Drosophila melanogaster: one gene and its partner. The protein of the gene in region 1 interacts with the protein of each later gene in a pairwise test. Each region holds a gene or a part of one and is shown in the gene's direction. Other genes may lie near its edges.

What was found. Proteins that work in one complex are often made in the same cells at the same time.
Region 2: the proteins of Las (region 1) and CG11808 interact in a two-hybrid assay, tested with the Drosophila melanogaster proteins (one large-scale study listed by BioGRID).

What each region holds. Positions count from the first base shown.
Region 1 is NT_037436.4:20,428,204-20,434,087, reverse strand, and holds Las (lipoic acid synthase), read left to right. Parts: upstream 1-1,726; 5' UTR 1,727-1,827; coding exon 1,828-1,878; intron 1,879-1,937; coding exon 1,938-2,270; intron 2,271-2,483; coding exon 2,484-2,640; intron 2,641-2,697; coding exon 2,698-2,755; intron 2,756-2,810; coding exon 2,811-3,345; 3' UTR 3,346-3,483; downstream 3,484-5,884. Other genes in the region: Psn (presenilin), read right to left, coding at 1-1, 56-154, 227-447, 501-710, 778-1,016, 1,082-1,246; CG5262 (uncharacterized protein), read left to right, coding at 3,725-3,775, 4,079-4,572, 4,699-4,919, 4,972-5,735. UniProt on the Drosophila melanogaster protein: Catalyzes the radical-mediated insertion of two sulfur atoms into the C-6 and C-8 positions of the octanoyl moiety bound to the lipoyl domains of lipoate-dependent enzymes, thereby converting the octanoylated domains into lipoylated derivatives.
Region 2 is NT_033778.4:15,213,271-15,218,418, forward strand, and holds CG11808 (uncharacterized protein), read left to right. Parts: upstream 1-2,936; 5' UTR 2,937-3,029; coding exon 3,030-3,608; intron 3,609-3,671; coding exon 3,672-3,752; 3' UTR 3,753-3,793; downstream 3,794-5,148. Other genes in the region: row (relative of woc), read right to left, coding at 1-219; CG8093 (uncharacterized protein), read right to left, coding at 1,062-2,165, 2,238-2,330; mRpL41 (mitochondrial ribosomal protein L41), read right to left, coding at 3,794-4,294.

The sequences.
Region 1 (5,884 bases):
GCTGAAAAGGATATATTATTTAATTTAAAAGTTTATGCGGATGGATGATTATTACATGAATAAATCAGAGCGGGGAAGATTTGCTCATTTCGCTCCTGAGCCGTTTCCACCAGAATGCGGAGGGGTCCTCTTGGCGAAAGGACAGCAATAAGATCTATAAATAAATGAAAATAAAAAAAACTTAGTTATTTCAGCAATCTTGGCCTTCAAGCTGTGTCAAACTTACCCCAAATAGAAATGGCAGCCAATACAGCCCAGGCAGTCCATTCAGGCAGGTATTTAATGAACACCAAGGCCATCAAGGCTGCCACGAAAATGAGATATCCTTGCTGCAACCGCAGAGGTCCCTGCCAATGGATGGACATCATTCCGACCACTCCAAAGTTCCACATAATCAGTAGTGCAGTAGGGTAGTCCATCGGTATGTTATAGGCGCGAAGAAGCTCTCTAAATTAGGCAAACTATTAGTTGAACATTAATCGAAAATGGCCTCAGCTTACTCCAAATATAAGTACGTAAAAATGAACAACAACATGAAGGAGGAGAGAATCAGCCAGCCGTGAATGATGCGATAGCAACGCTTCTTGTACAAAACAATCAGCAAAAAGGTCATCACCACCACCACGCTCATCAGGATCAGGGAGTTCGCCAAGGCACTCCAGAACTTAACACTAGGCTCGGGCGATTGTTCATGGAAAGGTGTGTAGAGGCTGAGAACAAAAGAGACATTTAGTCACGACCGACACTTCAGATAAGTAGATTTCTGGTAAACCCTACAGATAGACATCCGTGCTGTTGTAGAAGCTGATGGAGTTGATGGTAGCCACCACTACCAGCATGCAAAGGGAGACGGGGACGAATAACTTGATCACATGCTGGGCCCCGTATTTCAGGCCCTGCTCTTCCTCCATTTCATTTGTGGGCGGACCACCACTGCCGCCTCCTCCACCGGTCAGTCTTGAAGGGCGCGAGCCACAAGGTTCACGCATCACCACATTGGGCACAGCAAGTATGGCCTGGCAGGAAAGGGGATTCGATAGTTGAATGTGTAAGCAACAAAGTTTCCCTTCGGTATACGCACAGCATCCGGTTGATCCTGATTGCTGGAGCCGTAGTTGTTCCGCTGCTGTTGCCGCCTTGGAGGTCGTTCCAAACGCTCCGCCGCGCCTATCTGGCTGCCCACATTGGCGTCATCCTCAGAGGCGAGCCCGGAGGAGCACGAAGCCTGGAGATTGACAGCAGCCATCAGTGGTGTGCGTTCGTTCGCCTCCGTAGCGCTGGACGCCTCCCCCTGCGAAGCCGTAGTTGTGTGATGGGATTTCTTGGGGAGCACCACCGATTAGGACCGAGCTTGACACTCGCAGGAGTTGGACTACTCACAGTTAAGGAAACCAAAGAAATGTAGCTGGTAAAAACTTTCTTTTGTTTTAAAGCGACTCATATACTAGTGATGGCAGTGCGCTCGTCCGGCTGAACTATCGATGTTCGATTAATTTGCGAAGGGATTAATATATTTAAGGTACAAGTATTTAGAATAACTTCTACATGCAATCATGCACAAATTAAAAGTGGCGACTTTGTCAACTCACAATTTTTTATGACTCTAAAAGGAACCCCTTTCTAAATCTTTGTTTAAAATACTGCTAGCGATAAATTTTTTCCAACTAAATACCATAAACGCGCTTCTTATAGAAACAGCTGTTCTCCACAAAAAGTGCCCATGAAAACAGCAAGTGGCAAACGGTCTTACTAAATATTTCATAAGTTTCGACAAGCAAAATAAATCGTTTATATTTTAATAATTGTAAAATAATTCATATGTATGTCATGTTGCGAGCTTTAAAAACTCACGCGGAGGCCCCCATTGTAGTTGCCACCGTAAGCAAACGCTTGAAAAGTACATATAAAAACAACTTATTTTGATTGAATAATAACAGCGTGCGGCATCAACGAATGCGGAGAAGCTTGAGGAGATTCGTGAACGTCTGGCAAAGGGTCCGAATTTCCATGACTTTGTGCAGAATCCGGACAACACCAGAAACGAGTGGGAACAGTACGATGGAAAGCTACGCCGCGAAAAGGGCGAGGAGCAGCGACTGCGATTGCCGCCTTGGTTAAAGACCACCATTCCCGTGGGCAAAAACTACGCCAAAATCAAGGCCCAGATGCGCGAGCTCAAGCTGTCCACCGTCTGCGAGGAGGCCCGGTGTCCCAACATCGGCGAGTGCTGGGGCGGCGGCGAGCATGGCACCCAGACAGCCACGATTATGGTGAGGGACCCCCCATGGTGACCTTTGCTGATAACCGAACATGCTCAGATAGTCTGAACATTATTTTCCACAGCTTAGGCGTCTTTTTAAATTTTTAAATTTTAAATTATGAAAGTCACTTAAACTACAATTCATTTTAAAGCAACCAGACAACGAATATTGACGAACCAATACTTCTTAACTACACCATTTCACAATACATTTTTTACCTAGCTTATGGGCGACACTTGCACCAGAGGCTGTAGATTTTGTTCGGTGAAAACGGCACGCAAACCACCACCGCTGGATGTAAACGAACCCGTGAACACAGCCACGGCAATTGCCTCCTGGGGATTGGATTACATTGTTCTGACCTCAGTTGATCGAGATGGTAAGTACTGGAGTGGTTTTTGACTTGCCATAGCTTAAAATGCCTTTACTACCATAGATTTGCCAGACGGTGGCTCGGAGCACATTGCCGAAACTGTTCGCGAAATTAAGGCGCGGTAAGACGAATTCATTATTAAATTTGTTCGAACCTAATCTATACTTTATGTCTAGCAACTCAAACATCTTTGTGGAGTGCCTAGTACCTGATTTCCGAGGAAATCTGGAGTGTGTGAAGACGATCGCCAACAGCGGGCTGGATGTTTATGCGCACAACATAGAGACGGTTGAGAAGCTCACTCCCTATGTGCGCGACCGGCGCGCCCACTACCGCCAGACCCTGCAAGTGCTAACCGAAGCGAAGAGATTCAACCCCAATCTCATCACCAAGAGTTCAATTATGCTGGGACTTGGCGAGACCGACGAGGAGATCGAGAACACCTTGAAGGATCTGCGGGAGGCCGGCGTAGATTGCGTGACCCTGGGTCAGTACATGCAGCCCACGAATAAGCACCTCAAGGTCATCGAATACGTCACGCCCGAGAAGTTCAAGCACTGGGAAGAGCGCGGCAACGAACTGGGTTTCCTGTACACAGCCAGTGGACCGCTGGTGCGCAGCTCCTACAAAGCCGGCGAGTTCTTCATCACAAGTATATTGGAGAATCGCAAGAAGAGGCAAAACGACACTGAAGTTCCCAAGAAGCAGTAAAATTTCTAAGCCTTTCCTAGTCGATCATGGATAGCTTTAGTTTAGCCTTTTATTCGCTACACACGCGCATGTTGTGCAATGTATATATTAGACGACAAATTTACTGTTTTGAAATAAAATCGAATTGTTTTTAGCTTTAAATGAAGTAATTCGTCTCCTGTGGTGTACAAACATACTTTTAAAATTACGCGCCAATTGGGTGTTTAAATAATTAATTCTGTGGCGTTAGGAAATTGTGTGTATACTCTATTTCGTCAAAACAGTTGGGCACACTGCATTGAGTGCACTATCTGTTCTATTATTGTTTTCTTTTTGTTAAGAGTTTGATTGAATCGGATTGGATAGAAGCCTGGTGAAAAGACAAAGAACCAGCGTAAAGATGCCTCGCCTTGTCAATGGCCGCGAAGCCGCGCCCACGTACTCGAATCTGGTAAGTTGAACTTCAATGTGTGGAGCCAGCGACTCCTTTCACCAAAACAAAGGATTGTATGCATTTGTTGCATGTTTGTTATGCTGTTTGCGCAACAAATGTGCATTTTTACAAAAGTCAGAAAGATTTGTGCTTATATTTTTGTATAAAACGCCTTAAGTACATATAGGTGTGCCAGTGGAAATATAAGAATCTACTCCATAACGCCCACTTGCACAATTTTTGCGTTGTGTGCACTTATTTTCGTTCCACAATCTGAACACCTGTCGCTCCGTGAGTTAAAATTTCCTTTTCTATCCACAGGTTGGCTTCATATTCATTTTCAATCTAATCGTTGGAACCGGAGCGCTGACGCTACCCGGAGTCTTTGCCAGGGCAGGATGGATGCTTTCCCTGATCGTCATTGTTCTGCTGGCCATCATCAGTTACATGACGGTCACTTTTATCATAGAAGCAATGGCTTGTGCGAATGCAATCAGGAATTGGCAGACTCTGCAGGCCCTGCGCCAAAGTCGCAGTTCCGCCGAAAACAGTGAAAACGATGATAATGCTGATGATGTTTCGCTGGCATCGGGAGCCGAGCAAGTTGGCGATTTCGAGCGGGTTCCGCTGACCATCCAAAACCGGGAGTTCCACTACTATCAGCTGTCCCACAAATTCGAACTTGGCGAAATGGCGACACTATTCTTTAATGAGTTTGGCCGCGTAATGTTCTATCTCTGCCTGATTGTTTATCTTTACGGGGATCTGAGCATATATTCCGCCGCCGTGGCAAGAAGTCTGCGTGACGTCGTATGGTAAGTACTCAGAACCGCACGCAGCTTACATCGGATCAAAAACTAATTTGGAAACTGTTTTCCGAGTTATGAAAACCTTTCTCTCATACGTTTGAGAATGTAATTTAATTCATCGTCTTGTTTCAGTGACCAAACAAATGGAACGGATACTAATAACTTGATGTATTGGCCCGGAGACTTTGAGAACAATACATCTCTGGCCTGCTGGAAGGAACACACGATATCTCGCTTGAACATGTACAGGGTGTTGCTCATAGGATTCACATTGATCTTTGGTCCATTTGTGTACTTTAATGTGCAGAAAACGAAGTACCTGCAGATGCTGACCGCTGCTTTTCGGTGGATGGGTAAGCTTCGAATTTTGTGCAACTAATAAGATATTAAAACGTGGTATTTCAGCTTTTACCCTGATGATCTGCATATCGCTAAAACTTTTGATTTCCAGAGGTGCCAAAGGTCATCCAGCGACCTTTAATGTATATGGAATTCCCTCTCTTTTCGGCGCCTGTGTTTACTCCTTCATGTGCCACCACTCACTGCCCAGTTTGCTGGCGCCCATCAGACACAAGTCAATGGTTTCCAAAATTCTATCCATTGACTACATAATCATTTGTGCATTTTACATTCTACTGGCCATGACAGGCATTTTTGCCTTCGAACGAATCGAAGACCTTTACACATTAGATTTTTTGCCCTACGATGTGGCCTACGTAGACTTTTGGTCAGGTCTATTGATTTGCATTGATTACTTCCTTGCACTTTTTCCCATATTTACCCTGTCAACCAGTTTTCCCATTGTTGCCATAACGCTGAAGAACAACCTTCAATCTCTATTCCTAGACATGTCGCAATATGAATCCTATAGCGTTATCCTACGCCTGTGCTTCCCTTTGCTCGCCATAATTCCGCCTTTTTGTATCACCTATTTCACTGAAAGTTTATCCAGTTTGGTGGCATTTACTGGCACCTACGCAGGCACTGGCATTCAATACATTATCCCCGTTTTCTTGGTTTACTTTGCGAGACGCACTTGCTCAGAGCTCCTGGGAAGCGGCGTAGTCAATCGTTTTAAAAGTCCTTTCAAGTCCAGTGCCTGGCTAGTTTTCGTCTTCATTTGGTCAATTTTATGCGTCTGTTTGGTATCTATAAATTTGTTCAGTTAAGTTATCTTATCTGCCAATGTGGAGATATTTTACGGCATTGAGTTTATTACCGGCTAGTAAAGTCCCATGTCATTTATTTTTAAAGAAATACTATCAAACTAATGTAGTTGTACATATAAAATAAAGAATATATGTAAATTAATCGAATT
Region 2 (5,148 bases), on another chromosome or scaffold:
GAGCTCCTGCAGCACTTTGCCCTTAAAGGAGTAGGCCTGGAACACCTGGCCGTTAAACAGCTCCTTGCCCTCGTTGGCGCTAACCGCGTTCTTTAGTGCACCCTTCACCGCGTTGTGCTCGTTAGTAATCTTCTCGTAGTACGCCAATTGTGCCGGCGACAGCTCCTCCACCCAGAACTCCATGTCCAGGGAGATTTCACTTCTCGTTACGCGCGTCATCTTACAGCTAACTAGTTAACCGACCACTGGCCCAGCGAGGGCGTTGTTTTTAAAAATATTAAGAGCTAAGTAAATTTTTTTTCGCTCGAATTAGCTTTCCTTGCGTGGATGTACCTGCTCGAGTAAATAACATCGATGAAAACATCGATAATATCGGCTTGGGTATTGTCGTGACACACGCACAGTGGTGCACCACACATCGGTTCGTTAAAATATAAACAAATATAAATCAAATTTTTGTATTTAAAAAAAAGTGTTAACGTAAACTGGTCAATTTTATATTCTGCTAATAAGAACAAGAATAAAATTTTTTTACAATTAAGGAATATCATAACAAGAATTGATTTAACGTATAAATAAATGCCATGAATATATTTTCCCACCTAAATATACATTACAGATATTTTTTACTATGATCAGTATGTTGCGGACTATCGACTACCACAAAAAACGCTGAAAGTCTATCGATGATTTTACAAGATGCTTCATCCCTGAAAGTTGGCGCGCAATTCAAACTAAGAGTGCAAAATATTTCTCAACAGTACACAATCAGCAAATAAAATAAAAATATCTAGTACAGCTTATATTTTATTATATTACACTTAATATAATCCATTGTATTTAGCAGGTGCACTTATAAGGCAAAAAATGTTAGCAGGCTAGTTCGTTTTGCGTTGTTCAGTCACCGTGAAGTGTCACCAAATCAATTTGAATTTATGACCACTCGTATATTATCGGTTCATTAGCTACCAAAAGCCCCCGTTGAAGTGGTGACCAATGGAACTTTTTTTATCACAATGTCACAAAAACGTATGTCGCTTTTTTTTATTTCCAGCGCACATTTATGCATTATTTATGTCGTTAATTACCCGATCATAAAGAATTTCTTTAATATTCAGTCCCCACAGAAAGTCGATATGATTCCACTTTTCTTCCGGCATGCGATATGCGCTTTTCAGGGCGCTCGGGTTCATGGTATACCTAAGGCGATCCACGTCAATCAGACTAGCAAAGTAGTCGTTGTCAGAGTAATAGAGATAGGTGGGCACATCGATGCCCTCCACATCGTACTCCGGCGGGGTCTTGCTGCTGTACTCCTTCTTGTTGCGCGTAGATCCGTAGTCGAATTGCCGGAAGTATCCGGAATTGTACTCCTGCAGGTAGTGGAAGATCTGATTTACTGAGCATCCCGCCGGAGTGGTGGCCATAATATCTGGGAGCAGGGTCTCGTTGATATATGGCGAGTTCCAGCCGCCCAGCAGGAATAGGGTGTTGGTGCACATGAACTGTGAAATGGCCTCATCGCTGCAGAGGAGAGCCCCGAACAGGTTCATTAGCTGTGTATTTGGCAAAAATTCGGCGCTGCCGAAGAGCTCGACGAAGGCATTGGGCTGACCAAGCAGTGGTCCACCGACCGTGGCCAAAGGACTCTCCATATGCTCCATCCAGGCCACAGGAGCGAGCAAATGAGCAGATCGAATGCGACTCTTGAAGCGCGGAATCATAGAGTTGAGCACAAAAAAGGATGTGGTTCCTTGAGAGTGACCCACATACGTAAGTTGAGTCACATTTGTCCAGTAAAGGACGTAATCCATCATAGCGGGCAGATCATAGATTCCGATATCGTGCCACTCAAAATTCCAGAAGGGCTGCAGCAGCGGCGACTTGCTGGCGTGTCTTTTGGAGTAGGTGTTGCCTCTGGCATTACCCATCCACACATCGTAGCCCGCTTCGGACAGCAGGTATGCCAGCCCACTGTGAGGTCCAGCAAGAACCCAATCCGAGGAGGAACACAACAGACCGTGCATAAGGAAGACAACAGGGCGTGGCCCATCGTACCCAGTGTTCTTCGAGTACGGTATGCGGTGCATTGTGAGGATGTAACCATCCGAGGTCTGCACCTCGTGCTCCTCGATTTCGTAACCGTGTCCCCTAACAATGGTGACCTGGAAAGTAGAGCAATATAGTGGTTAGTAAGGACTTTTGGGTGCCAAAGAACATGGCATCCTAAAACTTACAGTTGTCACCGAACTGGCGCGCCCCGTATCCGCAGGCAGGGCATTAGCCAAGCCCAGACTTAAAAAAACCGCAATTAGCTGAACCACCAACATTTTGTATTCCACAGGTGCAGGTGCTTTGACCGCTGACTTGGCCGCCCGTGCCTTTTATATGCCCCCCAGGAACTTGATAAGGATTCCTAGATTTGGCTGCCTAATTTATGACTGTTTATTTTTGCCTGCAAAATGGTTTGATTCGCCAAGACTGATAGATCGTGTGGGAATTTCGATCCCAGTTGATTTAACGAATGGCTAGTGGTCATCAGCGATAAGGTCTCCTATAATCTTGATAACTGCTGATTAGGTATAATTGCTAAGAGTTAATCAGCAATTAGTATTTCCTGCTTTGGGCGTACGGCAAACTGGACATTAAAAGACCCCACATCAGTCTGTAAACTGACATGCTAAGCCGGTAAGGACAAAACTCAATAAATGTAGTATATTAAATGAATATGTTAAAAAGAATTAATTGATTTAATATTACACATAGTTCTAAGTTAAATATTTTAAAGTGATTACTATAATTAAAATTCGCGCCTATTAGTTTAAATTAAAATCGGTCGATAAGTCCAAAAATCGATAGGCGGTAAACATGTTGACACAATCAGTGTGGCCAGCTGGAATATTCGTAAAAATGTTGCGTTTTCTTGACAGGCGATTTTGTATTTTGGGAATGAGCGACGTCCGGCACACAAGAAATATAACATAAATAAAAAACTAAATAAATAATTAACTGCCGATAAAGGACACATTATGAGGGATCGCGACCGCCGTGACAGAGATCGCGACAGAGAGAGGGATAGAGATCGGGACCGAGAAAGAGACAGAGAGCGAGACCGCGACAGACGACACAGATCAAAGTCGCCCAGCAGGAGCAGCCGGCAGGTTTCAAAACCGAAGAAGAAAAAGGCCAAGAAGTCGAAAAAGTACTCGAGAAGGAGTCGCAGTAGCAGTCGCAGCACCTCGCGCAGCTCCTCCAGCAGCAGGAGTAGTTCCCGCAGCACGCACAGCAAAAGCAGAACCAGGGATCATCACAAATCGCGGTCTATTTCGCAGAGGAAAACCAGGGGTCCAAGTTCGGAAAGCAATTCCCGATCCGCAACCACACCCGCAGCTGCTCCCGTGAAGGCCATCGATCTGTTCGACACCAAGGTGCAAAAGGCACTCGAGACTATAGACGAGGACACCTTCAAGCCGGAGTCATTTTTTAGCTCCAGGGATTCAAAGGAGACATCCGATAAGGTGATCATAGATCTGAACAATGAAACGGTCACAGTCGCCAGCAAGCCAGCCACTGCAGTCCGAAACGAAGATGTAATATTCCATCCGAACGTGAGTGGGTTACCTGGTGCTCGAATATACATGCTAATAGTATCTGATTTTCAATTCCGACAGTTCCTGGGCGACCCGGATATGAAGGCCGAGAAGTGGCTGCGCAAGCTGTACAATTACCGCCAAAAGTACATGCAGGAGTAGTCGAGTTTAGACTCTGTATTTAAGAAACAATAAACCTATGTCTAGAATATATCGCTGCCCGTCTTTCGAGCGCGTTGCAAGGCCTCCTCCGGAGTCAGTTGCTCATTGACCGAGGGCTCCTTGGCGCTGCCGTCCTTCTGCAGTTTTCCCGCCTTGAAATCTTCGATAATCTTCTGCGAGTAGACGGCGTTGAAGAGATCCAAGCTGGTGAACTCCGACTGGACGACGTCCGGCGCCTTATAGGACACGTATGGCTTTAGCTTACAACCGGTCAAATCGGGAACTATGATGTCCGGAATTTTCTCGGGAATCTCCACATACTGCCCGTCGACAAGTATGCCCGTGTCTCGTACACCTCGCTTGTGAATGGCTACCGGCGGATTGGCCAGTGTTTTCTGGGCTTCCTTTACCACGCGCGTACCGCGCTTGTTGTATGCGTTAAATTTACGGAAGTTCCGCTTGCCCTCCAGCACGGATGAAGTACTGATGGTCCTCTGCTGGCACCTTAGGGCAATGGGCACTACTTTAATACAATTATTCATTCTTATTTCGTTTTTCGGCGACCAAAATGGTTAAATAACAAATGTAGATGAGGGAACAGCTGTTTGGTTGGGTAGAGATGACACTTTTTTCGATAGACAATTAATCCCAGTTGGAAATGTATTGGAAGCCAATTTGCTATTAAACTACTTGTTTTTTTAAAAATACCGAAAAAGTTTTTTTTCTTTTAGGCCGTTGCCATATTTATTTTATCTTGATAAGAACTAAGTTGTTTTTTTTTTCAAAAACTAGGCATATTTTTTTTATGTGTAAAAGCAACCATCTCTTAATAAATCGATTAACTTTGCAGCCACCAGTGCTTAAAACGACTGTTAGTTGAAATGAAACTAGATGTTGGCGGATGTCGATGTTTTTGGCGAATAACATCGACGTTTTAAACATCGATGCTTTAAATAAAAATAATTGCTTTTTATTTTAATGTTGCTTAAATAAAACGTCAGTATTTGGTGTCCACCTTTTCATCCTCCGCTGGTCCAGTAATTGCTCCTATAAGACAAATGCACGTTTACATACATACATGTATATACATTTAGACGTGCATATGACATGCATTCATATGTGCAAGCCTTTTTCGGGTGTTAAAAACTTTCTTCTCAGATATTTTCCATGTCTATCACGACGCCACAATATGGTATTAATAATTGTATTAGAAGATATGGAAAATTAATTTGTACTTACAATTTATACGCTTTTCTCCTCAGATGCGATGTAGAGATGGAAAAACATCGATGATTCCTCGAAAACATCGATGAATGCGATTTTTTGAAAACATTGATGACATCCATGCTAGCATCGATGTTTCTCCATCTCTAGCTGAAACTCCCCAAATCGGCTT